Notamacropus eugenii: one gene and its partners. The protein of the gene in region 1 binds, or shares a complex with, the protein of each later gene. Links are inferred from orthologs where the notes say so. Each region holds a gene or a part of one and is shown on either strand. Other genes may lie near its edges.

Region 1 (9,420 bases):
CCTTCTGTCCTTCTCTAGACTAGGAACTCACATTCTACCTCCATCAAATCTGGGCTACTATCTCTGTGACCCCCAGCCAGGTATCCCACACTCTCTACTCCCTCATTGGGATCCAACATTCTGCCACCCTCCAGGCTGGGACTCCTCATTCTGCCCCCTGATTTAGCTTGGGACTCCACACTCTGCCCTAGCATCAAGTTGAGTTTTAGAGATGTCTCCCTCAGTGGCACCCGCTCAATTTGGTTGGGAGAGGTGGGAAGAGAAGTAGATAGATGCCAAAGGGCAAAGCCAATGTCCCCAGTGGCTCCCTGGCCCTGTAGAAGTTTCCTTTCAGAGAGAAGGGTGTCTCCTTTTGGGCAGAGACAATTAAATTTGACCCTGAGGCCAGAGAAACTGAGATCCTGCTTCCCCTCCCCCAACGCCCCATCCCTTTCCTCTGGGGGTCACGTGAGTTCCCATTATTACAGGATTCCAGGGAAATAAGCCACACACTCAACCTTACACACTTACCTCCTACTTTGGGATACTTAACCATCTGTCCCCCTCAAAAGAGGGACAGACAAACACATCACACCTCTCTGGTCCCACCAGAACAGCCATCACCATGTCTCTGGGGTCCCTGGCATTTGGGGCCCTGGGTGAGGAGGAGGAGACCCTGGACAACTTGAAGGCACTCACTGCCAAATTAAATCTACAGACCAGAAGGCCCTCATACCTCGAGTGGACAGCCAGGGTCCAAAGCCAAGCCTGGCACCGAGATCAGGCCAGGGCTGAACTGCGGGAACCAGAATCTGGAGCCATTTGTGGTTTTCACACTCTGGATGACGCCTTGCAGTGGCTAAGAGAGGAGCTGGTAAGTCTACGGTGTGGGATAGAGAAGAGTAGTTCACTGTCAGGGAGCCCCCATCTAAGGGAGAGACACACAAAGGGAAGCCCCAGCTGAGGAGGAGAATGTAACCTTGCCCTTACAATTTCAGGATTTGGGGGCAGACGCCCTTTTGGGACAGGTAGCATGGGGCAATGTATGTGAAAAATATTGTCTTCTGAGCTAGAGACCTCATTCAAATCTCTTCCCCTGACTGTGGAACCTTGGGCAAATCATTTCACCACCCTGGGCCTCAGTTTCCTTACCTGTCAAGTGAGGGACTGGATGATCTCTAAGTATCTCTTCCCTCTCTTGGTCTATGATCCAAAGTTCCCTATGGACTTAGGGGAGGCTGAAGTCTGGGGTGCAGTGGAGGTAAGGAGAGAGAAGGCCTTGTCCTCAGTCATGCAATATTCAATAAAAGAGTGGGGCTCCCCTTCCCCTAGGCTGATTCCTTGTACATAGTAGATGCTTGATAAATCTTTGTTGACAGACAGAGATGAGTCCCTGAGTCTATTCAAGAGGCTGGGAAATAGCTCTGTTAGTTGGAAGACTTGGGTCCCAGTCCCAACCACTCCCCTCCCCTGACGGTGGAGAGGAAGTACTTTATAAATCCTCCAAGGCCATAGGATAGGAGTTATTATTATCTTTCCTGGAAGAGGAGGAAGAGGAGAGGAGAGGGTAGTGCTGGGCTTGAGAGGAAGGAGGAGCCAGGAAGGGCTGAGCTGGACTGAGAGGATCAGGGTCATAGAATGTTGGCGTTTCAAGTTGCCTAGGCACAGGATAGAGACACCTCTGCCCACAGCCCAAAATAAAGGGCAGGAAGCCAGGGCCCTGAATCCCCAGCCTCAATCATTTCCCCCCAGAGGCAGATGCGAGCCCAGGACCGGGAGCTGGCAGGGCAGCTGTTGCGCCTCAGGTCCCGAATGCACCAGCTAAAGGTGGAACAGATCTGCAGGCAGCACCAGGAGCTGTTGGATGATGCTGAACTGGAGGCAGAAGCTGAGTGTCTAGGCTTTGGAGAGGCAGCGGAGCTCCTGAGCCCAGGCTCTCTCCGGCCCACTCGCCTCCTGGCGCCCCCACTCAGGGACATCGGCCTCACCCGGATGAACATCAGTGCTCGTCGGTTCACCCTCTGCTGAGCAGGCAGGCCCTGCTGCACACAGCTGAGCATCCTTTGCTCTCCCACAGGGGTGTCCCACCCTAAACCTTGGTGCTCTGCTACCCCTGATCTGAGGGATGCAGTCACCCAGGGCACAGAGGGACCATAACTCACTGCCTATAGAGAGGGAGAGAGCTGTTCAGCCTTCCCAGAGTCAGCTCTCCAGCTACCTAGATCAGGAGTGGGGAACCTGCCTCTAGGTCCTTAGGTGTGGCCCTTTAACTGAATCCAAACTTCACAGGACAAATCCCCTTAATAAAAAGATTTGTTTGGTAAAACTTGGACTCAGTCAAAGGGCCGCACCTAAGGACCTAGAGGGCCACATGTAACCTCAAGTCCTCAGGTTCCCCATCCCTGACCTAGATAAAGGAGTGCTCTCAGGGCTTGTAGTAGGAACACTCACACTTTCTCAGGCTTTCCAGCAAACAGACTCCCTGGTGTGATCTAGTGCTCCATGTCACTGCAGGAAAGATCGAGGACACCAGGTGTGCATGTTTTTGAGGGAGGAAAACATGTCTCTGACCCAGAAGTCCTCAACTCTTCTCTTTCATTTAGCTCTGTGTCTGTTCTTTCTCCTGTCATCTGGTTTTTGGCTTTTTTTCCTGTGTGTGTGTGGCTGTCTGTTTCTTGGTCTCTGTTTCTCAGTGTATTTCCATCTCTGTCTCTCTTTCTGTCTCTGTCTCTGTCTCTCTCCTCCCTCCCCCTCTCTCTCCCTCTTCTCTCCTTCTCTCCTCTCTCTTTTTTGTCTCCTCTTCCTCCTCTCTCTCCTTTCTGTCACTCTCTCTTCTATCTCTTAAACCTCTTCTTTCCCCCCTCTTTCTCTTTTCTCTCTCTTCTCTTTCTCCTCTTTCTTCCCTTCCCTTCTCTCTCTCCCTCCTTTCCTCTCTCCCTCCCTCCCTCCTTCTCTCTCTCTCCCTCCCTCCCTCCCTCTCTCTCTCTCTTTCCCCCTCTCTCTCCCTCCCTCCCTCTCTCTCTCTCCCTCTCTCTCCCTCCCTCTCTTTCTCCCTCTCCCTCTCCCTCTCCCTCTCCCTCTCTCTTTCCCTCTCTCCCTCTCTCCCTCCCTCCCTCCCTCCCTCTCTCTCTCTTTCTCTCTCTCTCTCTCTCTCTCTCTCTCTCTGTCCCTCTGTAACTTTTGTTTCTGCTGTTCACATCTCTTTGTCTTACTTTCTGTCTTTGGCTTCCTTTCCCTCCCCCATTTCCTGCCCTCCTCACCCGCCTCAGTTGAGGTGAGCAGAACCAGCATCAATTTCCACCTTTCAAACCCCAACAATACGTCTGCGGCATCCTCTTCTGCTGTCCCCATCCCCCTCCCCTTTCCTCACAGCTTGGCTCAAGGTGAAGGGGTGGGAGCTGTTTGTGTCGCAGGAATGGGTCACTCTAGTTTGGTTCAACCATGGCAGGGTTCACTGGGTCTAGCTGGGGCACAGTCATCAGACTGTCCATCTCTGCCCCTTAAGGAGCTGGTGTATGAGTTTGGATACCCATCTTCTGTTGGCAGTGAACCTAGATGGACATCTTTCCCACAGCATTGCTAGGGTCCACTTGGTGTCACCAAAATAAAATGTTGAAAGGTCCTTAGGGACCATCTAGTCTGAAGGAAGTAGGGTGAGACAGTGGAAAATATGTGGATTTTGGAATCAGAGGACCTGGGTTCAAATCCTCGCTCTGCCACTGACTACTTGGACAATCTGAGACAATTCCTCTGGCTCTGTTAGATTGTAAATTCCCTGGAGGCGGTGCTGTCTTTTGTTTCTTTTTATATCCGCAAGGTTTAGCATACTATCTGGCACGTGGTAGGTGCTTAATAAATCTTTATTGACTGACTTGTTGACCGTTTCCTCATCTTTTTAAAACAAATGGTTTGAATTAGATGACCCATGTCATCTTTCGTCTCTAAATTTCTGATTTCTATTTCCTTTATCTTGCAAAAATGGAAAAGGAAACTCTGAGACAAGATCACACATCAAGCCAATGGCAAATTGGTCTATGTGGAGGAGGGGGTGGGGATGGAGGGGGAGATTACTCCCCTTTGTGAGTCCTCCCTCACCCCCCACCTCTTCAGCCCATGGGCTCCCATGGCGTCTTCTTCACAGAACCCCAGACTTTTCATTCTGAAAAGATCCTTAGGAATCATCTTAGCCTGTGGTCACCAGACTACCATGGGATGGATACATGACCACATTTCCCAGGGGGAGGGAAGAAGGGGTACATGAACTTGGATGGGAAAGAACCATCTTTATTTTTTACTACCCTCTAAGTGGAATTTATCATTTCCTTCAATGATGATTAAAAATGCAAATTCTGAGAATTTCCATAGGTTTTATCAGTCTTCCAAAGAGGTCCATGACACAAAAAATGCTAAGAAGCCCTGATCTAATCCAATCAGCTTATTTTATAGAAGACAGCCCCAGAGAGGGGACAAGACTTACCCAAAGTCACACAGCTAACAAGTAATAGAGATAGGGAGGTATTCTGGGTCCTCTGACTCCGAATCCAGGGCAATTTCTACTTCACCATCAAATGCTCTCTATGGTGTGTCCCCCTCTTTCCCCACCCACGGATACTAGGAATTCCCTGGGACCCTCTGTGACCACAGCTCCCTACTATCAGGCCCCTGGATGTTGGGAGGGGTGTGGTTGGCACTGTTGTTCTTGGCTTGTGGTTGAGGGAGGGCCTGACTGGGGTTCTGGGGTTGGCTGCCGCCTTCTTTCTCACTCATTCTCTCAAGAGGAGGCAGGAAGTTGGGGTTGGACGTGGGCTGGGTGCTGAGAAGGCAAATTGAGGCAGCGACAAGGAGCTGGGAGCCTCATCCATCCTCTGGGTGGTGATGGGGCCTCTGAACAAGAAGGACCATGTGAACCAGGCTCAGTGAACATATCAGGCAGGTAAGGAAAGAGTGCACGGGGCTTACGGGAGCTTCCAAAGGGAAAGGTCAGCAGCCCCTAAGGTGAGGGCAAGAAAGACCAGAGAAGGTCTTAAGAGAATTTCAGACTTCTGTCTATCTGGTCATTGAGGAAAGCTAGTTTAATAAGACCTGTGACATTAATTGATGGGCACCCTGACAAGCTCTGTGGGTGTCACAGTATCACTTTGCCATGGGGCACACGGGCATTGGCCCTATGGACAGGCCCCACAGTGACTCTACCCTAATCCCACAGATTCCCAACTTGTCTCTGAGGACCCCCCTGACCTTGATACCACCCCATGGGCACTCCAACAATAGTCACACAGTCACTGTGATGCAACCCTTGGACATCCTGATGCCAGCTCCATACATAGATGCCCTGGGGGCAAAGGTTACCTCCTCAAAGAATGGTTTGGGGAAGTCCCTGAATATTGACTGGGTAGCAGGGGAGATGGATTTGGAGACAGAGGAGCTGGGTTCAAACCAAACAGGGACGTTGTCACAAGAGTGACCAGGAGCCAACTGCTGGAGGGAAGAGAACCAGAAAGGTTCTTATTGTATCTAGTGTCTTGGGAGGGGAGTAGATAATAAGGTGGAACCTAAAATGACCCCTTGTCTGGATCGGGTGAGACTAGATGCGAAGAGTCCTTTGGGAATTCCCCAAGTGCCTTATTAATGAATATTTGTAGGCTCCTAGAACTTGGTGACCGTCTAGTCTAGTTCAGACTGATTCTCATTTGGTAGAATCTAAGACCCAGAAAAGAGCAAGGAGTTGCCACATGGCTAATTAGTGGCAAAGATGAGGTTACAACCCAGGCCTCCTCATTTTGTCCAATGCACTTCTCCCAATGTGGTAAAGGGAGAGAGGATTTAGATAAGTTGGATTCAAGTTTTGCCTCTGACATTCATTTCCTTGTCTCTTAACTCTTCTGGGCTCCAGTTTCCTTAGTTGTAAAATGAGGGATTTGTGTCAGAAGGCCCCTAAGCTCTCTTAGTTCTCGATTCATCATCCCGGAGGCAAGAGGAAACCAGAGCTTTATTTTCTTGGGTCATTTGGATGAATGGAGGAAAATTCCATCAGGAAGCTTAAGGACTTGATGGGGTCAGAATTCTGTAGGAAAGAGAACCAGGCACTCCAGTGACTTTTGCTGCCAGAGTTCTCTGTGAGAGGGAAAGGTTTATCCGAGCTTCCTGGATGCTCATGTCAAGGAAGATTTCTGACGTGGGATTGAGATTCTTCATGAAAAGACGGCCCCAAAGGGCCAGGCAAAGGAAGGGAGGAAAGGAAGGAAGAAAAGCTATTTTAAATTGGTGTGGGGAAAGGATGAGGGGCATGATTGGCAGTGGGAGCTTGACCCTGGAGTTCCTATGGAAAGTTTCCTTCTCCACTGGATGCTGGCTAAGGAAGTCTTGGGACCAAACCTCCTAGGGCCTCAGAGATTTAAAGTTATCTGATCTCATCTGGGCCTTACAAGCTGTGTGCAATCCTTTTGATTTTCTATCACCTTCTCTTAGTGGCCTTTCGAAACCTTCCTCCTTCCTCAACCTTTTTACCCCACCAAGGACAGTCTTAGCAGAAGCCACAGCCTGCTACCTTACTGAGAGTTTCATCATCTCTCTCCCCTGGGTGAGGCCTAACTTCAGAGAGGCTTGCTGTCTAGACCAGTTGAACATTGGCCCCACACCCATGATCATCATCTGTCTCCTAAGTCAAACCAAGAGAGAACTCTGGACAGGTCAGGAGACGTGGGTTCAAGTCTGTGGTATAGAGGAAAGAGTATGAATCTGGAGTCAGAGGACCTGAGTTCAAATTCCCAATGTGCCACTAACTGCCTCGGATGAATCACTCCTCATCTCTGGAGCTCAGTTTCCTTTTTTGTAAAATGAGGGAGGTTAGACCCAATGACCTCAGGGTTCTTTCCAGTACTAAAAACTAATCTGTGATCTGTGTTCCTAAGCCTCACCTCTGTGACTACTCTGATCATCTTTGAACAATTCCCCCACCCTTTCCTAAGGCTGTTGTGATGGAAAAAAACCAAACACCTTCCAAGTCTTGAAGAAGCAAGATGAAACTTCAGGGGATAGAGGGCAACAATTTGGGGTGCAGGGGGAAGCCCCCTCTCTTACCCATTCTTCTGAAGTGCCACCTGCCTTGGGGCGCTCCCTGCCTACTCTCCACCCCCACTGGAGTTTTCTTCAAAACACAATTTCCACAGAGATATAATATAACTTGGGGACCTGGAAACCTGGGTCTGAGTTCTGCTTCAGACCTTTAGTAGTCATCCAAACATCGCTCCTCTGGGAGCCAGGCTGAATTTCTTCACTGATAAAATGGAGATGAGAGTGCTGGCATAAGAAAGCAGTCACAGAGATGATGCCTCATAAACCACAGAAATATGGAAGGGACAGTAGTTTAATGGTGCCATTACTATCGCCAATAGTATTCCTCTCCCAAGTTGGGGATAGGGGCAAAAATGACCTTGTACGGAATTTTTTGAAGTAATGTATCTGTTCATGTGTGTTTGACATGGGCCTCTCTGGGGATCCATGATGGGGAGAGCAGCAGACTTGGAGGAACAGGGCCTGGCACCCAATCCAAGCTCAGCTGTCTTTAGTTTCTGGGAATCTTTAGGCAAAACCCTCCCCTTTTTAAGGGCTCATTTTCCTTATCTGTAAAATAAGGAAGTTGGACAAGGGCACCGTTAATTTCCCTCCTCACTCTAAGTCTAGTAGTTGATGGTCCTGTAATATTCTATGTTCTAAGATTTCTTCTGTCTCTGAGACAGTGGATTCTAAAGCCCCTCTCAGCCATCAGTAAGTCAGTCAACAAACATTTACTAAGTACCTACCATGTGCCAGGCACTGTGCTAAGTGCTGGGGCTACAAAGGAAAGCAGAGGGTCAGCCAAGTGATCAGAGTGCTGGCCCTGGAGTCAGAAGGACCTGATTTCACATCTGGCCTCAGACACTTACTAGTAGCATGACCCTGAGCAAGTCACTTAACCCTGATTGCCTTTCAAAACAACAACAAACAAAGAAAGAACAAAGAAAGGAAAAACAAAATTCCTGCTTTCAGAGAGTCATAGTTTATTCTGGGAGACAAGATGCAAATAACTCTGTACGAACAGGCTACATATAGGATACAGAGGAGATAATTAGCAGAGAGAAAGCCCTGGCATTAAGAAGGATTAGGAAAAGCTTCCTGCAGAAGGTAGGATGTCATCTACTACTTGAAGGAAGCCAGGAGGTGGAGATGAGGAGACAGCCAGAGAAATGCCTGGAGTCTGGGTGTACTAAGGACTTTCCAGATTTTGCTTTCTCTGTTCTAGGTTCTGACATTCTATGTACTATGAATCCTATCAGATGGGGCAGGGGGCAAGGTGAGTCTTTAGTGATAGGGGTAGGGATTGGGGAGAAGAGCCTTCCAACTGTCATCCTCAGTGTATTGAAGAGACTAAGTTGGGGGGCAGTGGAACTTGGTTCTGTTGGGACCTCAGGCAAGACAGGGCAGGACAGGGCAGGACAGGGTCACAGACTTTCCTCCCTACCTGACTGAAGTCCACCATCCCAGCTACATTCCTTAGGGTTGGTGGTACCTTCCTTGGGCCTGAGTCCCCTGGAAAGGTGGGAGAACCAGGTCTCTGGGTGTTAGAGCAGCATGAAACACGGCTCTCAGAGAAGGTAGATGGAACAGGAGTAGGACCCTGATGCAGAGGGAAGACTCTGCCCCCCATCTCCACCCCCACTAAGAGCAGGGCTTCTCTTCTCCCTCCCCCTTCACATGTGCTGCTACTAGAGGCCTTGCTTTGCACCTGAAGCTGCTTCCTGTGTATATTCTCTGAGAACACTCAACATCAGACTGGGAACCCTCCAAGATGAAAGCAGCTGAAGGCAAAGGGTTCGAAGTGCCAGCAGCTCTCACCTAAGGGCATTCTTTTTACAAAGGAGCACACACCTCAGAGTCACACACTCTCCTTCCCAAGCACAGGCACATGGACTTACAAATATGTAATTGCTATATGCGTAACACGTAATTACCCATGTGTAACAACCATGCACAATCCAGATACCTCTAGTTACACATACTCATACATCTATATGTAGTCATAGACTCCATGTATGGTTCTCACACACATACAAACACAGACATGTAGCATTGTGTGCTACACAATGTGCACACATGTGCTACACAATGTAGCACACATGTGCTACATCATACATGCAAACTACTACAGAGACACATAGAATTGGAACCACATTACATAGACTCAAGGAATTTCTATTCTGACATCGGTTGAACTAGACAGTCCTGGGGTCTTTCCCAACTTGAAGATTCTAAGAAAATAAACACATTACACATTCATCCCCACTAACAGAGTTCTACCCATATGTAGGTAGACACAGACTTAACATGTTTGCGCATACACAGATGCACATAAAGATATGCATGAAGTCAAATATGCCGTGTGACATTATACATAGAAATACG
Region 2 (10,252 bases), on another chromosome or scaffold:
GCTTGGATGTCTTCTCCAGCTATAACTATGTGAATCCGGTTAGTGGTACGATTATTTTTGTATGTATACAATTGATTTTCTACTAGACTATTAATTTTCTGAGAACAGAAACCTGACCTTAGTTAAACTTTGTCCTCTTCCTTGGGACGAGTGAGGTTCTGCTCATGCGGGAGCTATTTAGTAAACATTTATTGAACTGAATTTGCCTGGGATCATACAATATGGGAATCAATGAAAGGAAAAGGAAATATTTAATCTAGAGAACACTTTGCTTGGGCTGGTGGTGGAGAAAAGTGGGGGATTACTATATGTCTTCAAGTGTTTTTTAAAATAAATTTTATTTTTTTTTTTGTTTTTACACCACCTAATATTCTCCCCATTTACTCCTTTCTCCTCCCTTGCAGAGAATCATCCCTTATAACGAAGAATTTTGTCTTCCAGTGTTTGAAGGTCTGGCATATGGAAAGAAGGATTAACTTTTTTCTGCTTGGCCCCAAAGTGAGTAGAAATTACAAAGTGGCAGATTTCAGCTTGAAGTAAGGAACTCTTTCCATTGCCAACCCTGTAAATAATGAGAATTGTCCAGAATTGTATTGAACTACATCAGAGAGTAGTAGGAGTCTTATTTCTGGACATCTTTAAGCCAAGACTGGCTAGCTACTAACTAATGGTGTGGTAGAGGGAATTCTCAGCCTAGAACAGGACCTAGATCAATAACCATGGAGTCTAGAGTTAAAGATGATCTTGGAAGGCGTAGGATCATAGATTCAGAGCTAACAAGCCCTTAGAGGTCATCAAGTGTTCTACATGAGCCCTTTCCTCATCCCTCCAGCTACTTAACACTCCCCCCACCACCACTATTATTTTGTACTTATCTGTTTATCTTGATGTATTTTTCACATAGTTACAATACTTGTTGTCTCCCTCAATAGAATATAAACTCTTTGATGGTAGGGGACAGTTTCCTTTTTGCCTTTACATCCAAATCACTTAATGTGGTGCCTTGCACATAAAAGGTATTCAGATTTGTTGATTGATTGAGTCCAAACTTCATCTTACAAATGAGAAAAGTGAGACACTTTGAGGTTAGATAGACTGTCCAAGGCCACAGAAATAATAAATGCAGAGCTGAGATTAGAAACCAGGTCCTCCAAACTCTACACACTGCATGGTCTCCAGTGCCCCATGATACCTGAGACTAGCTGAAAACCCTCCCAACTCTGAGTTTCTGTGATTCTCTACATTGACCTGAATGTTATCCAAGCCATCAGTCTGTCTCATGCAATTTGGTTTTGTTTCCCCATCACGTTGTGTCCATGGTCCTATATGGGTCTTGTGAGTTCATCTGACTTGGGAAGTGAAAGACTTGGCTAAGTCCACATCTTGGTCTGCAGTGTGTCAGGGTCTCCATGCACAACTTAACAGCATCTGCATGCTTCTCACAGGGAGGAAGTCACTGTGGTTTTGTTGAAACCCCACTGAGATCGGCACAAATATCATTGGGGTCATGAAACCACCTGGGTGGGATTGACACCCACCTTTCGAATTGTGCCCCTCCACTGTAGCTCAGTACAAAGAGCCTGCCTGGGCTCGACTGCCTTTTCTGAGCTCAAAGGATGGAAGAAACCCTAGGCAGCTGCAGCTGGTTTCCTGGAGGCTGATACTTGGATGTCTACTTTTTCATAGTGTATTACCATCCCCTCCCCATCTCTCACCCTAGGCATCATAAAGAATCTTGATTTTTTTTTAAGTAAGTTCAATTACTTATTATTTTGTGGAAATGCAGGGAGTGTTGAAGAGAGAGTAAAACAGTGTGGGTCAGTGAGTAGAATGCTAGACTTGGAGTCAGAAAGACATCTTGCCTCAGGTGCTCAAATTGTATTGCCCTGGGCAAGTCACTTAGAGGCTCTGTGCCTCAGTTTCCTGAGCCATAAAATGAGGGGATTGGTCCTGATTCCCTCTAAATTGATGACCCCACAACTATGGGCAAGTCATCTAACTCCTCATGGTCTCAGGCAACTTTCTAAGGCTATGTTTTACAGAGTAGCTTGAGATCTGCATTTGGTAGAGGGAATTTCCAGATTGAGACTATCCCACACCCCTCCCCAAAAAAATGGCAGGTTTCATCCAAAACCAAAGCGTATTGTTGTTTTCTGTTTTTATGTCATAGTCATTTCTTTATCCACCACCCTACCACCCACCAAAGCTCTGATGCCTCTCTTCTAACAGAGAAAAACAATTTAATGAAGTCAACCAGCAAGATTGCTGGTCCAACAATGTAGACCAAATTTCACCCCTAAATCTTCCCATCTTTCCACCAAAAGGAGAGAGATGTGTTTTCTTCCGGGGGCTCCTGGGCAATGATGGTCATTACAATGACAGAATTCTGCTTCTCTTTGTTATTCATCTTTATACTACTGTTGACCTTGGGTAGATTGTTTTTCTGATTCACACTGAATCCAATTGCTTAACTCCATCAATGAAATCTAGGATTTCATTGGCAACTTTGATCCAGTCAGAAAAGAGACCGATCCAATTCACTTGTGGCCGCCTAACAACAAAGGACTCCTGCGGTTGCTTGGTCCTGTAGAACCCCATGAGAGGCAGCCAGAAAGTGCCATTAAGAGAGAGCCAAGACCTGAACTCCAATCCTGCTTGAGGCTTAGGAGCTGTGTGGCCCTGAGCAAGTCACTTAACCTCTTTCTGCCTCAGTCTTCTCATCTTTAAAATGGAGGTAATACTAGCACCTACCTCCCAGAGAGTTAAATGAGATTATGTATGTACAGCACTCTGTAAAACTTAACATGCTATGTAAATGTGAGCTATTACTTTTCCTTTGATGACAGCCAGGCAGAGTGCAAAAAAATCCTGGATTTTGAATCAGAGGACCTGAGTTCTAATCCTGGATCTATTAATTACTACCTCAGGTCCTTGGTCGTTTCATCTCTCCAAACCTCAATTTCTTCATCTGTAAAATAAGAGGATTGGATTTGACAGTAGTTACGGTCCTTTCCAGCTCTAAATCCTTTAAATTCACTACCAGAAGAATGAGGAAGCCAATGACTTTGCCGTTGGTTGGTAGCTATGCAAAAACTACTGACTTAGATGGTTTTCCAATCATCGTCATTTTCACATATGCATTTATGAATTCAATCAATAGACATTTATTAAGTACTTAACATTTCCAGTGCTCCAAGATGGGCACTGGGAGAGATTTTAAAAATTAGATAAGAGAGGGTTCTTGACCTAAGGTGGCTTATAATACAGCAGTAGGAAGTTAAGACCTACGCATGACATATATTAAAGTCATCGGACTTTTCTCAGTCGCCCTCCACAAACAATGGTTGACAAATCTTATTCAACCTCCACCTTTCTCACCCACAAGCCAACCCCTATAGATCTCCAGCTCTCTTAGACTATGACAATAACCTCCTAACTTTTTACTTCTCTCCTCTCCAATTCTCCGTCTCACTGCATTTAAACTGATATATACCTAAAGCACAAGCATGATTTCCTTGCTTAAGAAACTCTAATGGCAAAGACTTACACGAACTAATACAAAATGAAGCTAGCAGAACCAGGGAGACATTGTTAACAGCAACATTGTGGGAAGATCTGTAAATGGCTTAGCTATTCTCAGCAATACAATGATCCATGACAATTCCAAAGGACTCAAGATGAAAAATGCAATCTGTCTCCAGAGAAAAAATTGATGTTATCTGAATACAGACTGTAGCATCCTATTTTTCACTTCCTTCCTTCCTTTTTTCATTTCTTTCTTTCTGAGCCTTTTTGAACAAAATGATTAATACGGAAATGTTTTACGTGATTGCAGACGTATAACCTATATCAGATTACTCACTGTCTCGGAGGGAGGGATAGAATTTGGAACTTACAACTTAAAAAATGTTTTTAATTGTTTTTACATGTAACTGGGAAGAAACAATAAAATATCATTTAAAAAATAAATGAAAATAATACTGTACCATATAAAAAAGAAACTCCAGTAGTGTTTTTGTCTTATCTCCAGAATACAATGTAAACTCCTCTCTGTGACATTATAAGGCCTTCACACTCTGGCTCTAGCACACCTTCCCAGACATCGTTTTTTTCTCTTTGCACACTCTATAGACCTATAAATCATTTCCCTGTGCATAGCCTGCCATCTTCCATCTTTGGGCATTTGCACCTGTCCCCAAACCCTGGACTCCACCAGTCAGCAGCAATGACACCAGTTACCACTAATTACCATTCAATATTCATCAGCATTCAGAGAAAGGAGAGATCAATCCAAAATGGGCTGGAGAAATCCAGAAAGACTTCCTCTAAGAGATGGCATTTTGGCTAGGCCTTGAAGGAGCAGGATTTGGATAAAAGGGGATACAGGAGGAGACGGTCCAAGTGAACAGAGACCCAGAATGAGGAAAGTGTATGTTATGCCCAAGGTAAGGAGATCCAGATCACCCCAACTGGAGTAAAAGACTCCTTTGCGGGGAAAGCCCGTTATAATATTAATAATAATATATAATATTATAATAATATAATTATAATAATATATCAAATTTGATGATTCCATGATTCTAAATAAGAGCTCTGGTAAAAGTGTGCCTCTTCCAATCTCATTCTAGCCTAAAGGAAAGCTCCTAGACCTGACAGAAAACATCCCTAGGTTTTACAGATCTACAAACACACACAGAAGTTATTAGACTTTTAAACCCTGTCATCCAAGAGAAACAAGAATTTTATCTGAAGCCACAGCTACTGAAGACCCAGAAAAGAAAGTTCTCACCACCAAAGTGCTTGGCGATGCCAAATGGCTCAACATCAGAAATGGATATGGTTTTATTCACGAAAATGACAGAAGTAGAGATGCATCATCACCCAAAAGGCTGTGTGGTCTTTCCACTTGACTTGCAAATGAAACCTTCTAAATGTTTTGTCTCCCCCATTAAAAGAAGCTCCTTGAGATTAGGGACTGTGTTACTTTTTCTATTTCTATTTCTAAAGGAGAGGATAGTGTTTGGCACATGGCAGTGGGTAAATATATAATTTGCTCAGTCAGTCAACCCCTTATAGCATCCTTGAGAAGAGTCATAGTAAGTACCAGTCATTGCATCCCTATGCCATTTGTAGAAAGGAAGACATTAAAATCTAAACCCTATACTAGGAGTAAAGGCTGAAACTATGATCCATTGCACATAGCAGGGACTTAAGAAATATTATCATCTAACCTCTGAGGTAATGTAGTCCAATGGAAAGTTTAGATTGGGAGTCAGAGGATTTGACCCTTACTAGCTCTGTGACAGAGCAAATCACTTAACCCTTCGGCCTCTGTTCCTCCTCTTTAAAATGAGGGGAGCTGGACGAGGCCTTCAAGGCTCCTCTTGCATCTCTAAATGGATGATCTTCTAGAATAGGATTTCTGAACTTTTTTTGAGTGTCATAGGCCTTTTGGGCATCCTGGTGAAGTCCATCGAACTCTTCTCATAATTACCCTTGTTGCCTACTTTCGTAACTGAAGGAGATGCTAAGTTTCAGTTAGAGGCTAAAAGAAATTGAGAAGTTACCTCCCCCAAACCCAAGGAGGTTCTGACATACTGAAATCTACTCATGGACCTCAAGTTAAGGACCTCTGCTCTGATCCAACGTTAGTAGTCCAAGGGTACCATTATACACTTTCCTCTCTTTCTCACTTCCTCTCCCTTCTTCCCCTTGAAGACTTTGTAAGGAAGTTCCACGCAAATGGGACTGTGCTTCTGCTCCTGGCCCACCCCAGCCCACCCTCCGGAGGCCGTGTTCTGTGTATAGTTAACTTTCAACGAGTGTTGGTTGAATTGAGTTGAGCATCTCTTCTCTCCCTTCCTCTCCATCAAGTCAGCTCACAAATTAAGGGTAGGCCTCTCCAAACGATTTCCGCACACACATCGCAAGCCTTCCATTTGCCCCTTTCTCCCGTTGCCCATGAAAGATGTCCTGGGCTCCAGACTGGATCCAATGGATGATTCCGAAGGATTCCCACAGCTCAGCCCCATATGCTGCCCTCTTTCCTTCTCTTTCCCCTTACTTTCCTCAGCTCTCCACCACATGCAGGTGGGAGGTGGCCAGCTCAGGGAGAGTGATTTTTTTTTTCTTTTTCTGTGGGGTATCAAATGACATCACATCCTCCGATCTCCAAAGAGCAAGAGAGAGAAGCTTCCTCACCCTGGGCCCCCCTTCTCTTACCTGGAGTTGCCCAGCTTTCCAGCTCTAGGGAGACTGCTCACCGGCCCTCCGGCCCGGCGGGAAGTAGCAAGGGAGCTAGGGATGGGCTCCCTCTTGGCTGTACGATCCCTGCTCCTGCCGCTGGCCCTACTGCTCCGTGAGTAACCAACAGGAGCCCAGAATCTGTGACCTGGCCGGGGTCCATCCCAGAACATCCCGGCCAATGCCAACCTGGAGGTGGAGGGGAGGGAAGCATTCCGGGCGTTCGGAACCCTGAGGGAGCAGCCTGGTGGTGTGGGGAGTCCCAGGCAGAGGACCATGGGGCTCTAGCTCTTCTGCCCAGTCTCTTGCTCTCTCCTTCCCAGAGTCCGTCGGGTCCCAGGCACAGCTGAAATTCCGGATGAATCCCCTGGAGAAGCGGGACGTCCGGCCATCCGACAAGGTGCAGCTGCAGTGCGAGACGCTGAGCAGTTCGTCCACGGGATGTTCGTGGCTGCGCTTGGCCCCTGGAAAAGTGGTCCCTACCTTTCTGCTCTTCATCTCGAGCACTAGCTCAAACGCGAAGCTGGCCGAAGACCTGGACCCCAAGCGATTCCGGGGCGAAAGGATCTCGTCTTCCACATACCGCCTGACCCTGCAGAACTTCAGAGAGGAGGACGAGGGCTACTACTACTGCGTGGTCACCCGGAACTCGGCGCTGTTCTTCAGCCCCTTCGTGCCGGTCTTCTTGCCAGGTCAGGGTCTGGTCATCCCTGGGGTCCGGGGAGGGTTGAATACCGGGCTGCCCCTACCTCCGCGCGCCCGGGAGAGCGCATGGATGCACGCACGGGTGCAGTAGAGGTGGGAATTGTCCCAGGCACTCCCGAGGCTCCCATAGGACCGGGATGCGGGGCAGCCTCCCGAGCAGCGCCAGAATACCAGTGGGTAGTCCTGCCCCCAGGAAATCAAGGCATTAGGGGAGAGCGTTCAGGGCTGAGTGACTCGGAACATCTTGGGTACTGAGGGTTAACAGAATTCAAAAAATCTGGGCTTCACTTTCCTCTTCTGTAAAATGGATGCATCTAAGATTCCTTCTACTTACACATCTTTGAACCTTTAATACATGCAAAGGGTTGTGCAAACCTTGGAGTCCTAAATGAATGTGCACTGTTATTATTAGAGACATCAGTAGTTCAACTTTCCTTAGTATCACCAGATCTCCAGATCTCCCTCCCCACCCGATCCCCACTAAATTGAAGGGGACCCAGATAGACCCCATGCACACATTAGGAGAAAAGTTATATAACAACTTCAATAATGATAAATGCTTGACATTAAGATAGCCTTTTAAAGTTTGGACCTTGTACCTTTCCGACATAAAGAGAAAGTATAATGAGTGGAGGCCCTGTGGCGAACTTAAGGGAGGACCAGGACAGGCGTGGCTCAGGATGAGTAGGCATGGGTCGGGTTATAATCAGCATCACAGAAGTCAAAGTTCTAAAATAATGAGCTCACGCCCATCTAAGTATTCTAAAGTTCCGAGAGTATTTTTTGTGTATCATTTCATGTAACTAACTGAGGTTAAGTACCACAGATGTCATTACCCCTCTTTTTAAGATGAGGAAACTGGGGCTTCCATTGATTTTCCAAGGTCATATACCGAAGTTAGCTAGGAACAGGACTAAGCCCCAGGGCTTCTGACTCCAAGCCCCAAGTGGTTTTCCTATTCTCTCCACTCTCAGAGAGTGCTTCAGAGAGGAAGACTGAGACCCAGAGAGGTCCAGCAACTTGCTCAGAGCAGGATCCAGATTAGAACCCAAGACTATTTGACCTAAAATTCATCCAGTGATCTCTTGCTCTTTGCTCCCAGAGCATGCTATTCTGCCCCTGGGTTTTTAAACACAAGAATACACACACACACACACACACACACACACACACACACACACACACATATAATATGGATAAGGACAGATATATGGATGACTCATTCATAGCAAAAAGATAAAAAAATCAGCCTCTATACCTGTAGAAACACAAAGGCCCTGCTCCATCCCTAGATAGTGCCAACCTGTCAACTGAAAACTGCAAGAATTGACTCCATTTCTTTTCTTGTCTTATGAATGGTGCTGAGCGCATGGGTGCTGGCAGAAATGTCCTCCATTGACCGATGGAATTGTGCTAATGTGTCCTTTGCTCCCAGCCTGGGGAGAGTGTTAGAGAGGGACTCCTGAGCAGGACTTGGGACTGTTTGGCTCTGCAAAAGGATAATAGATGCCCACTGCCCTATATCTCTGCATTCAACTGAGAATAGAGGGCGAGTGTTTCTTGCCTGGGGATAAAGATCAGAGAGAGAATGATTTGTACTTTTAAAGGATGGGGAAAGATTAAGAGGTGGGGGAGCTATACAGATCAACTTGATTCACTCTCCTCCTTTTTGTCTCTGCCCAGTAAAGGCTACCACCACCCCTGCACCCAAACCCAAGACCACCATTCTTCCAGCCACCATCAGCACTTCCACCCAGATTTCTGAAAACTGCAAGCTTACCGCCAAGAAACAAGGTGAAGAAATAACTCCAACCTTCTCTCTTCTCCCAACTTCTTAGTCAAGGGAGTTCCAGCCTAACCCTGACATCTCTCACTGCATTTGGAGGGTGATGCCAACCTAGCACTATAGTTGGAGACCCTGGACCAAAAACTTGGACTTCAACCACCACGTACATCCCCACCTCTATCTGCTTACCCTTTCCTGTCTTCTATCCCCCTTCTCAGAGCCCTCAGTGCTGCCCTAGCAGGAAGCAAAAGACATTCGCAAATGAAGGGCATGGGGATTTCAACAAATGTTTTATTAAGTTCTTATTATGTGCAAAGTACCACATTAGGCAGTAAAGGTTAAAACATTGCTGCTATGCAGCCTCTGCTCTAAAGCAGCTTATAATCTATTTTGGAGTAAGGGGAGAGAATGGTTAAGTGCACTTTTTATCACAGTTATGATACAAGTCAGAGTGAGATCAGTCCATAGAGGGGCTCTGCATATTAGAGGGTGGGGTGACTAAATTACTTCAGGGTGTGGAGGGTGGGGAGAGACTGGTAGGAAGGCTTCTTGGAGGAGGTTGTGTCTGAGTTAGCCTGGAAGGAAAAGAGATTTCAACAGATGAAGGCAGGAAATGTGGAGGCTTCTGTTCCAGCCTTGGTAGAGATGGCCTACAAAGACCCACAGAAGGGAGAGTACAACACGAGGAGGGATGGTTTTGACTGTCAGGACCAGGAGTTTATCCTTTATTATGTAGGCATTGGAGAGTTTACAGAAACAAGGACAATCACACTGGGAAGTGAGAAGTGTGTCCTGCTCGGTTCCACCACTACTGAGGAACAGGGTTCCTTGAGAAGAAATTACCAGTCCTTTTCTAAATTCTAGAGAGAAGAATATCTTTGGCCAGATAAGATGCGATAAGACAGAGTTAACTAGCAGGATTCCCAGAGAGACAGGCAGGCTGGGGACTGACCCTGGGTCCCTACGACTCAGAGGGAATTCCTATTTGGTCTCCTGGATTTTGTCTTCATTCTGGTGGTGCTCTCCCAAATCCTCTGCTGACACCCAGCTTCCTGACAAGGTTAGGAAGACCAGGATCTGACATGTCTCATTGAGTTTCCCTCTGTTTTGTGTATACAGGAAAGAAGGGATTGGATTTCTCCTGTGACCTGTACATCTGGGTGCCCCTCGCTGGCGTCTGTGTTGTCTTGTTTCTGGCCCTGATCACTACCATTACCATCTGCCAGAGTAAGAAGCAACCCTTCCTTCCATACCTATCCATCCACTTCCAGTACACATTTCCTCCTCGCAGAGCAACTGCTTGGTCCCCAGAACTCCAGAAGCATAGATATGACTCCCTCACTCCATCCCCAAACAGTTCCCTTGGGTCCATAATGCTCCCCACTGCATCATAGAGTGTTCTTCCCCAATGTTAAGCAGCTAGTGGGAGCTGAGAGTTAAACCCATGTCTTTTGATTCCCCCAAACAGGGCTCTTACTAGCACACCCCTTTGCCTAGAGCTCAGCTATGGGAAGCCCC
Region 3 (10,014 bases), on another chromosome or scaffold:
TTCACTTAGGTTAAAGGAGGAGGTAATAAAGGCTGCCATAATGATGGGAGGCACAGATGCACACTATGATACCCTCTTTGCAATTTCTCATAGGAATATAATAGTGAAGATGGCTCCTCCTGCTTACAAACACCTAGTTTTGACTCTAATAATTGGGGAAATGGGGAACCCTTTTTCGGGAGTGCTGGACAAGATTTCACAGCTAAGTGACTTAGGAGAATGGGGAAAGGATACATTTCCTCAAGAGAGAAGAGTAAATAGCCAGCAGATTCCAAGTCAGAATAGAATGACAAGAAAATGATTGTTTACTGCTTTATTGAGAGCAGGAGTTGATTTTTTGAAGCATACATGGTATACTAACTAATGAACTATATAGAATGTACTGAGAAAAGGGGCTTGATCCTAGATGGAATAGAGAAGTAAGAACAGCCCCTACAGATCCTCCTGAACCTGTGTATCCAAGCTGTTGACTTGTTTTTCATGATTTTCTCAGATCATTTTCATTTCTCTTCCTAATTCTTCCTCTACCTCTCTTACTTGATTTTCATAATCCCTTTTGAGCTCTTCCATGGCTTGAGACCAATTCATATTTTTCTTGGAGGCTATGGATGTAGGAGTTTGACTTTGTTGTCTTCCGAGTATGTGTTTTGATATTCCTTGTCACCACAGTAACTTTCTAGAATCAGAGTTTTTTTTTTCAGTTGCTTCCTCATTTTCCAAGCCTAATTACTTGACTTTTAATCTTTTGTTAAAGTGGGCTTCTGCTTCCAGGGTGGAGGTGCACTGTCCCAAGATTTAGGGGTTTTGTGCTGCTGTTTTCAGAGATAATTCTAGTGACCTGAAAGTTTTCAGTTCTTCCAAGGTAGCATGAACTGAGGAGAGAAATTTACCACTTTCCTGACCTGTGTTATGGTCTAGGAATGACCACAAGCACTCTTTTCTGTCCTAGAGCTGAAAGAAGGTCCTTGCTCTACTGTGGCCACAAGCTCTGCTATGCTAATGCTCCTCCTTGCCCTGGGATTTCTACCCAGGACTGGAACCTGGATCTGAGTAAGGGCAAAGCAACAGAGTCCTGCCTCAGTGCTAACAAAGTGTCCTCTGCCTGACTTCTGACCAGTTCTTTGACCCCCTTACCATCAGTACCTCTGGAGGTAGTTGCTGCTGCTTCCACTGTTGATTCAGTAGCTCCGAGGGCTTGCCTCTTATTTGTTGGCCAGGGCTGTACCGGTTCAGCCTGCAGTGAACTGCATTCGACTCTTACCCTGGTGCTACAGACCTTTCCTGATGACCTTCTAAGTTGTCTTTGGCATCTGTGGGCTCAGAGATCTGGAAACCACCACTGTTGTTATTGATTCAATAGCTCCAAGACCTGCTCCAGGTTTGCTGAGGCTGGGTCTGTACTGGTGTGGCTTGCACTGAACTGTGTTTCCCCTGTGACCCTGTTGCAACAGACCTTTCCTGCTGACCTTCCCAGTTGTCTTGGGTTGGAAATTTGTTTCACTCCATCTTTTTGTGGGTTCTGCTGCTCCAGAATTTGTTTAGAGTCATCTTAAAGGGTTTTTGGAGGGGCTTGGGGGAGAGTTCAGGTGAGTCCCTGTCTTTGCTACACCATGTTGGCTCTACCTTCAGGTTTTCCCTTGAGGTTTGGGGAAAGATGCCAAAACTTCCTCAGCCTGAAAAAGAAAAAAAGAAGAAAATGCATTTATTAAGTGCCCACCATGTGCAAGTCACTGTGCTGAATGCTTTATAAATATCTCATTTGATCCTCCCAACAACCTTAGGAGGTAGCTGCTATCATTATCCCAATTTTACACTTGAAGAAACTGAGGCAGGCTGAGGTTTAGTGACTTGCCCAAGGTCACACAGTAGCAGAGGCTGGACTTTAATTCATGTCTTCCTGAATCCAGGACTAGTGCTCTATTCACCTTGCTACCTAGCTGTCTCTGGAGCTGCCTATTATGGAAGGGGATAGTGGGAAAAGAAACCTGTGGTCCGTGAACTGTGCTCAGGAAATGGAAAAAAACAAGTTGTTGGCTCTTTTTAATAAGCCCAACCCAAAGAAGGTAGTTTCTTCCATAACAATCCCAGCCAATCAATTCTTTCCCAGTCACTGAGACCCATCTTCCATGAGGTGCCAAAGAATATGGTCATACTTTCCGTAGAAAGATGTAGTCAAAGGCTAACCATCTTGTAAGCTCAAGTTGATTAGGCGATTCCTTGGGCTAGAATAAGCAGATCCCAGGCCCTTTTGAATACACCAAACAGGCCAGGGGATATGCTAATGAATTCATCAATCTTTCTAGCTATTTCTGGCTTCCTTCCATGACTCCAGTGGGGGAGTCTAACCAGCATGTATCTAGTAAACTGGAAGCAGAGTGAGCATCATCACTCAGTAAGTTAGTAAGGTCCTCAGACACTCAGACACTTTGTCCAGCCCCTGAACCTTCCATTTTGAGATCTGACTGCCAAAGGACTAGTCAGGGGGAGACTGAAACTGAGTATCCTAAAGCATGGATTGAGAGTTAGGCCACTGTGGCTTCCTCTCCCTCAGTGCAAGTATATTTTTTTAAAATACAGGGTTCCCTCACAGGTCAGAGTCACTGGGCAAAAACCTATTGCTTCCTGTCCTCTCCCAGAGAATGAGCATCATCTCTTCTGGTGGGGAGCGGGGCAGTTTGGGGATGAGGAAATCTTTCTGAGGACGTGAGGAGAGGGCTCTCTTTGTTGCATTCTCCCTCATGACTGACAGTTTCTGCCACAGCTGCAGGTGTCAGCTGCCTCAACCATGTGGAGATCTTCTGCATTCAACTATTCAGATCTATAATGGGGGAGGGGTAGGGAGGCCCTAAGAACAGGGAAAGTATCAAGTGCTGTTCAAAAGGAGGTGTATGTTTGTGCTGAGGGAAAAAAGTCAGAATTTGAGGGAATCAGGATCAGCTCTTCGTGGTGATGCTAAAGGAATCCTCCCCATCTGTCCCAGTCTTAGCCATCATCTCTCACTCTAGCCTTTACAGGGGAACTTAGGCAATGCTACTACCAAACTGTGTTTGGTAAAGAGTCAAATACAGACAGCTGCACAAGAAGGCCCTTTACTTTATCTCCTGACAGGTTCTTATCTCCTCTCTAACAGCCTAAATCTTGAGCTTGAAAATTCTTTCAGTTAGCTGTGTCAATGTTAATTGAGGCCCAAGGAAAACTTGAGGATCTAGGAGTAGGGTCCACTCTCTGACTTCTCCCACCTTAGTTTCCAAACCCTTTTGTTTTCTCCCATTTCTTCCATCTTGGAGCACCATGAATCTTCAAAATTAGTAGTAATGAGGCAGTAGTCCGTTATTAAAAAGTTTCCCAGAAGCCCTGGTAAAAGCATTCTCATATCTCCCACCTTCCAGGAAAAGGAAGCAATCAATATATTCTTTGGTCTACTTAGACAACCTGTGATGAAAGAAGTGAAGCATCAGGTCCAGAAAGGTCCTCTGGACCCCTCGTGGGATGGCCTCTACAGAGTGGTTGGGTATGTTAACTATGAAGCAACTTCTTGATGTGACTGGCCTTGTTGACAACCTTTCTGTAAAATGTAAAAAAATACTAAGTCAGTTGGCATATCATCATATAATAAGTCCACAGGCCCATCATTTACCCTGGGATAGTTCTAGAGATGTTCCTAACTCCTTTTCTTATTCCCACATGCCTATGTTCCTCTCTTCCTAAATTCTCATTTTCCTGGAAGCCCAGTCCAAATGACACTGCCAATGTTTTTGCAATTTGGTAGAAATTCTGATAAATGTAGTTTCTGTTCTTCATTTGGTCAGCTTTTCCCTTGACTCAAGCTATTTCATTTTGACATTTCACTCTGAGTCCTGAATACTGAGAGGTCATGAGGGGTGGGGACCCAAACTAGGGAGATGACGTGAAGGGTTAAGCTAGGCCCAGGAGTTTGGAGAGTGCTTCACTGACGGATTTCCTGTCTTTTATCACTCCATTACAGTCTTGACAGATGGCAAAACCCTTCCTACTGTATTTCTGGGTAAAAAGCTCCAGGTTCTCATGAGGACACACCTGCACGAACCAGTGGACCAGATATTGATCAAGAGGGGAGGAAAAAAAAAGGCAACTTGAGGTAAGATAGATAGGAGTTCCACTTCTCATTCACAGGTCAAAGGATTTAAGTAGGTAAGGGAAATAAGAAAGTATCATCGGATCATAGATTCAGAGCTAGGAAAGCCCCTAAAAATGATAAATTTACCCTTTCTCCCTCACCCTTTTATAGATAAGGAAACTGAAGCCTGGAGAAATGGTGAGGAAACTGATGAAGATGGAGGATCAAGGACTTTCCAGGGCAGGAGAGGCAAAGAAAGAAACAGGAGATGAAGGGGTGATAAAAGGGAAAGAAAAAATAGGAATTAAGATTGAGGAGGAAGGAGGTAGAGAAAAAAATAGGAATGGTAGGGCAGGAGAAGGTGCAAATGAAAGACACAGAGTGGTGAGGAGAGAGGAGAGGAGAGAGGAAGAAAGGAGAGTCACTTGCTTCTATCGCCATTCTTTCTGGGTTTTGGAGTGGTAAAGATGACATGTCATAGTGTGGTGAAGACACTGATGGATTGAAATACTGATGGATTGGGATTCAAATGTTATTTACTACCTTTGTGATATTGAGCAAAACACTTTATTTACTTTTCTAGGTCTTCAATTTCCTTTCCTATAAAATGAGGAAGTTTGTAGGATCATAGATGCAGAAGTAGAAGGGGCCTTAGAAGCCATCTAATGGAATCCCCTCATTTTACAGACAAGAAAATGAAAGACAGAGAGGTATTAAATGGCTTTTGACTAAGTTCAAACAGGTAGTTGGTAGCAGGGCCAGCTTATGAATGCCAAATCCCTCACTTTCCACTGCCTCCTTTGGACTAGATGGTCATAAACAGCTCTCCCAGCTTTCAATTCTGTGATTTTAGGCTTCTTCCCCAGCTGGTTCCTACAAAGCAACAGCTTTCCATCTCTGCTTCCTAATTCTTTCGTCAAGACTGAAGCTAGCTCAGTCCCTGAGGCCCTGATACTCTTCAGTTCCTCTCCTGACTCCATTTAAAAAATTAACTTTAATTTTTTTTGTTATTCTGAAGTTGAAAGATCATGAATAATTACCAATATTTTCATGAAAAAGAGGATTACATGTGAAATCATGAATCTATTATATATACTAACTTTTTTAAAAAAGTACAATAAATTCGACATATTCGTTTCAAAGCTATTGTTATGCTTGTCCGTTTCTCCTTCAGAACCTCATTCTGTTCTCTTCTATGATTTAAAAAATGTTACAATTACCTTTTTTTTTGGTCTTCTTTCTTTTGGCATCAGGATCAAGAGTCCCCCTCTTCTCTTCTAACACTCTCCTCCATTTAACAAAACACCTTCCCTTATAACAAATAAGTCGTATCATGCAAAACAAACCTACTCTTTGGGCATTTCTGGAAATGTACATCTCAGTCTTTTCCTGAAGTCCCCTACTTCTCTGTCAGATGGTGGTCAGTATGCTTGCTTCATCATCAGTCTTGCCTTCTTTTAACAGGCTTATTCTGGAGGGAGTCCAAGGAGAATAAGTCTGTTCTTGAGCAACAAGGAACACCCATATTCCCTATTTCGGGGTTCTCTCTCATTTCAATTAGGTCTACTCTGCTTTTACAATAGGGTCAGGACTAGGACTTAATAGCCTAGGGTTCTGAATCTACCTGAGATGAACCCCTGGGCAGAACAAAATGGGGGATTGGAAAGTACAGAACAGGGGAGGCAGGGATTGGAAGTAAGTATTTCATCTTAGGCTCATTTTCCTATGAAATGCTAGATTTTTGTCCACTAGACACAAAATGGCTGCTATCAGGCCTCCCCTGTCAGGGTTAGAAACTCTTTAGAACTCTTCCCCTTTGCTCCCTCTAGAAAAACCAAACAAAACACAGATGGGGGGTGGGGGTGGTGGTAAGCAAAGGTGGGGAAGCAGAATGGATGGCTCCCTTGAGTGGAGGAGGTCAATTTGGAGGTTATCTTAAGTACAAAATACCTCTGGCTTCAAATGGAGAACCTTTGAAAAAGAGGCCCCTCTGAAACGGTAGCCTGGGCCTTGTTGCTAAGGGAAGGGGAGATGGAATGGTTGGCAGACCACAGGATGGGAAACCAGATTCCTTTGCTGAGAGGCACAAATCAGGTGGGGGTGGGGGACAGCAGGGCTGAGGGGAAGAAGGAGCTGATCTCTGCACGGCTCCTCTGGGGACTACGTAGGGTATGAGGGGGTGGTGGTGGTGGTGGTGGAGTTGTACCCCCCTCAAGTGGGTGTCAGAGTCAAAGGAGAGGATGATAGAGGTTGCAGCAACTAGACCACAAAGATCCCTTCAGAGGGATCGTGGTGTTTAGGAAGTTCACTTAACTGTAACCAGTAAGGGGGAGGTGGTTGATATTGGTGTGTGAGGGAAATGGGGGGCACATCCTATGGTAGGGGTAAGGGGGTAAGTGGGTGGTCAGAGGGAGGAGATAAAAGTGTCTGTGGGATCATATACAGATGCTGTGGTGAAGTAGAGCCCTCTTTCTCTCCCCTAAACCTGCTCCCTCCTTCTCCCAGCCCCAGAGGTTGGGGACATAGTGTCAGATAATCTGGAGAGCTCTACTTATGTGTACAAATATTTCTAAAAACATAAACGTGTGCATTTTATTATCTCTTCTGTTTCCTTGTGCTCTTTCTACACCTTTCCATTTTAGTCCCCATTCTTTATCTGATGATCTTGGCCTCTACTTTCTGACTTTTCCCACCTTAGTTTCCAAACCCTTTTGTTTTCTCCCATTTCTTCCATCTTGGAACACCATGAATCTTCAAAATTAGCAGTAATGAGGCAGCAGTCCATGATTAAAAAGTCTCTCCCTCCCTCCCTCCCTCTCTCTCTTTCTCTCTCTCCCTCTCTTTCTTCTTCTTCTCTCTCTTTCAGCTTCTTTCTGTTAGTCTCAATTGCTCTTGGAGTGTGTGACTGCGTGGGGCTTGAGCATGCATTGTGTGATGTATGTATGTATATCAATTGTTTTAATGAGCTGCTCTGGGGCTCTCTATCTTTATCTCTCCCTAGACTTCCTTATTTCTCTCTCCATATGTCCCTTTGTTCATGTGCACCCCCTCCCTTTGTTGCCTCCCCTGCCCTCTACCTCCTAGACTCATATCTGAATGGTGGAGTTTTAAGTTGTTGTTGTGGTGGTGGTGGTGGTCTTTGTTTTCAGTTCGAAGACCTGTTTCAGATCAAAGCTTACCAAATGTCTGGGTTCCTGCTAGGGAACAGGATGGTGTTTACAGACAAGTGAAAGAAAGAACAGAGTGGCAGCCAGAGATGAGGTTGCTAAGAATGGAGCAGAGGGGCTGGGAGGCGCAGCCTCTTGAAGTATGAGACAGAAATGCAGTCGCAGAGAGTTCTAGGTATCAGTATCATAAAGCATAGATACAGGCAGATACACTCAGGGCCATACAGGGAGATCTGTAGAGACCCTGGGCTAGATACACCAAAGCTTGTGCACACACCTCTCACAAGGGGTGAGGAGCGCTGGGGCACAGGATGTCGAGTCTGTCTCCATGGTGGCTGGTGATTGTGAGAATCAAAGACCTCTCTCTGGGGCCTCCCAGGGTCAGCGGAAATGTGAGCTCCAGGCGCTCAGCAAAGGCAAACAAGCAGCTGGAAAACCTTAGCCTCTGGTGAGCCCTGGACCCAGAGGTGGGACAGAAGAGAAGACAACCCCTGCACAGATCCGGGGAATATGGGCTCTGTGGTGGGGGAGGAGCAGGTTTAGAAAGAGAATAGAAAATGCACCCCCCACTCCAGAACGGGGAGGATTTAGGGCTGAAAGACAATAGCCCAATATGAAAGGAGGCAAGGAAAGAGGCAATCTCCAAACTAGAAAGTCCTTCCTCCCTCCCCCACAACCTGTCTAGCATCCAATATCCATCCTTCTCTCCTTCATCCTGCCCCAGGCCCCATTCTCAGTGCTATACCAATTTTACAAATGACCTACTTTCAGCCCTTCTCAACTCTCATTTATTCATTTGGCAAATGCTCATTCAGTGTCTACTATGTGCAAGTCTTTGTGTACCTGCATATTCAACCTCTTCTTGCGCAGAATAGTTGTAATATTTATTTTTAAAAATTTTTATTGATATCTTTTGTTTTTATATCATCATTTCCCAATAAGTTTCTCCCATTCCCCCATGCAGAGAACTAACCCTTCTAAAAAAAGCGATAAACAAAGGGAAAAAGCTGTTTAGCAAAACTAACCAACACATCAACCAAGCTGGCTGTTACATACAGTATTCTCCATCAATAGTCTCCCACCTCGGCAAAGAAGGTAGGGAGGTACATTCTCATATCTCTTCTTTGAGGTCAAGCTTTGTCATTATAATTGCATAGCAATAAGTTTCTTTTCTTATATTTTTGTAGTCACTATGCATATTGCTTTCCTGATTCTGCTTACTTAAGTTTGGATCAGTTCACTGTCTTTCCATACTTCTCAGTATTCTTCAAATGAATTCTTTCTTACAGTGTAGTAATATCCCATTATATTCATGTACTACAATTTGTTTAACCGTTCCCCAATTATAGTCCATTCCCTTTGTTTGTAATTTCCAGTAAGGGATTGGAGAGGGTAGATGGTCCCTTATGGGTGTGGGTGGATGCCCAAGGTACCTTTGCCAGCTCCCACTCTGCCCTGCTTATAGGCTTCTTTCCTTGCTAAATTTTTCTCCAGGTTCATAAATAGTCTAGCAGATATGAATCATAATGTCCACAAACTTTAAATCAGGATCACAAAGCATTTAAAATAAGGTATGTCAGGCCACCATAGAACTTGAGGCAGGGAGAAGGAGGGTGGCAGGTTTTTTATTCCTCCCTTTTATCTTTACTAGTTGGTGGGGGAAAGGGAAGCAGGAAAATTAGAGAAATAAGCTGTGGGTTAGGCATCCTTTTTACCAAGCTCTGTCGCTTCTGGTTCTCAGTGAGTTTGATTTTCCTTTGTTCATGCCCAGTCTCACTTCTGTAGTTCCCTACTTCAGGTAGCATAAAGGCCAGTATATTTGTCACAATTCCTCTGAGCTTGACAAAGAGAATCATGACCCATACTTCCTCTTTCTCCCTGGAAAGAAGTTCCCTCAAGGCCAAAAGTCCCCCAGCTCAAATTTAAATTTAAGGAAATGCTCAGTAATGTTCCTGTTACATGCATCAAGACTTCGTGGTACGATCAGTTCATTTTTTTCAGCTTCCTCCTCAACCCAGCTGTCAGTCTCAGTCCCTTAGCACCTTCTCAGAGAAGTGTGAAGGAAATGGTTTACATAGAATCGCAGAAATTAGAGCCTAAAGGATTTTATATACAATCTAGTCCAACTCTCCTCATTTTTACAGATAAGGATTATGAAGTCTAAAGAAATTCAGTGACTTGGTCAAGGTCACACAGGTTAATTAGTAGTAGTGCTAGGATTTGAACTCATATCCTCTGAGTACATAACATTCCCTTTCAATGTGGTTGATGTTTGTTCATGAATTAGGATGAACCTGGTTCTGCTTGGACTTTTGTCTGTTCCATGTCAAGTGCATTCTCAAGGTCCCAAGATCCATAAAGAGCAATCAGAAAGCCATTTCTCCTATTCTAGAGTTTGGAAACAGAGAAGCCACTAATTTCCCTCTTCTTGCTATTTCCTTACCCTCAACTCTCCCCCTTTACTTCCTCCCCCTAACCAGGTTCATGCTACTTCTTTCCTAGAACTGAGGAAGTTGGGGGTGGTGAAATGTTTGGGGCAGGGGGAAGTCTTCTAGTAAGGAAATGCAGGGGTGTAGGAAGGATACAGAAGTGGAACAGTGGAAAATGGAGATGGCTGACAGAGATCTTTTCTCTTAGGATACTGATCTGGCCACTCTTGTGTTTGTGTGCACGTATGCGCCCACTTCAGTTCATTGGCTGCCAAAATGATCTTGAAAGTGATGTACACTATCAGCCAAAACCATTCTTTCA

Evidence for each region.
Region 2: the proteins of LCK (region 1) and CD8A are in contact, whole or in part, in an NMR structure (PDB 1Q69), measured with the Homo sapiens proteins. The link is inferred for Notamacropus eugenii from reciprocal best matches to the Homo sapiens genes LCK and CD8A. Residues at the interface, in NP_001036236.1 of Homo sapiens: Cys20, Asn22, Cys23, Tyr25, Pro26, Ile27, Val28; in NP_001139345.1 of Homo sapiens: Arg212, Arg213, Val214, Cys215, Lys216, Cys217.
Region 3: the proteins of LCK (region 1) and CD4 are in contact, whole or in part, in an NMR structure (PDB 1Q68), measured with the Homo sapiens proteins. The link is inferred for Notamacropus eugenii from reciprocal best matches to the Homo sapiens genes LCK and CD4. Residues at the interface, in NP_001036236.1 of Homo sapiens: Glu15, Ile17, Val19, Cys20, Asn22, Cys23, Tyr25, Pro26, Ile27, Val28; in NP_000607.1 of Homo sapiens: Ala429, Arg431, Ile435, Leu438, Leu439, Lys443, Thr444, Cys445, Gln446, Cys447.

The regions. Positions count from the first base shown.
Region 1 is NC_092876.1:77,611,192-77,620,611, reverse strand, and holds the start of LCK (tyrosine-protein kinase Lck), read left to right. Parts: upstream 1-4,757; 5' UTR 4,758-4,912; intron 4,913-9,420. Other genes in the region: protein FAM167B, read left to right, coding at 605-853, 1,732-2,007. UniProt on the Homo sapiens protein: Non-receptor tyrosine-protein kinase that plays an essential role in the selection and maturation of developing T-cells in the thymus and in the function of mature T-cells. Plays a key role in T-cell antigen receptor (TCR)-linked signal transduction pathways.
Region 2 is NC_092872.1:725,236,437-725,246,688, forward strand, and holds the start of CD8A (T-cell surface glycoprotein CD8 alpha chain), read left to right. Parts: upstream 1-6,161; 5' UTR 6,162-6,303; coding exon 6,304-6,358; intron 6,359-6,566; coding exon 6,567-6,935; intron 6,936-8,631; coding exon 8,632-8,742; intron 8,743-9,853; coding exon 9,854-9,961; intron 9,962-10,252. UniProt on the Homo sapiens protein: Integral membrane glycoprotein that plays an essential role in the immune response and serves multiple functions in responses against both external and internal offenses. In T-cells, functions primarily as a coreceptor for MHC class I molecule:peptide complex.
Region 3 is NC_092874.1:195,111,363-195,121,376, forward strand, and holds the start of CD4 (T-cell surface glycoprotein CD4), read left to right. Parts: upstream 1-5,860; 5' UTR 5,861-6,132; coding exon 6,133-6,190; intron 6,191-10,014. UniProt on the Homo sapiens protein: Integral membrane glycoprotein that plays an essential role in the immune response and serves multiple functions in responses against both external and internal offenses.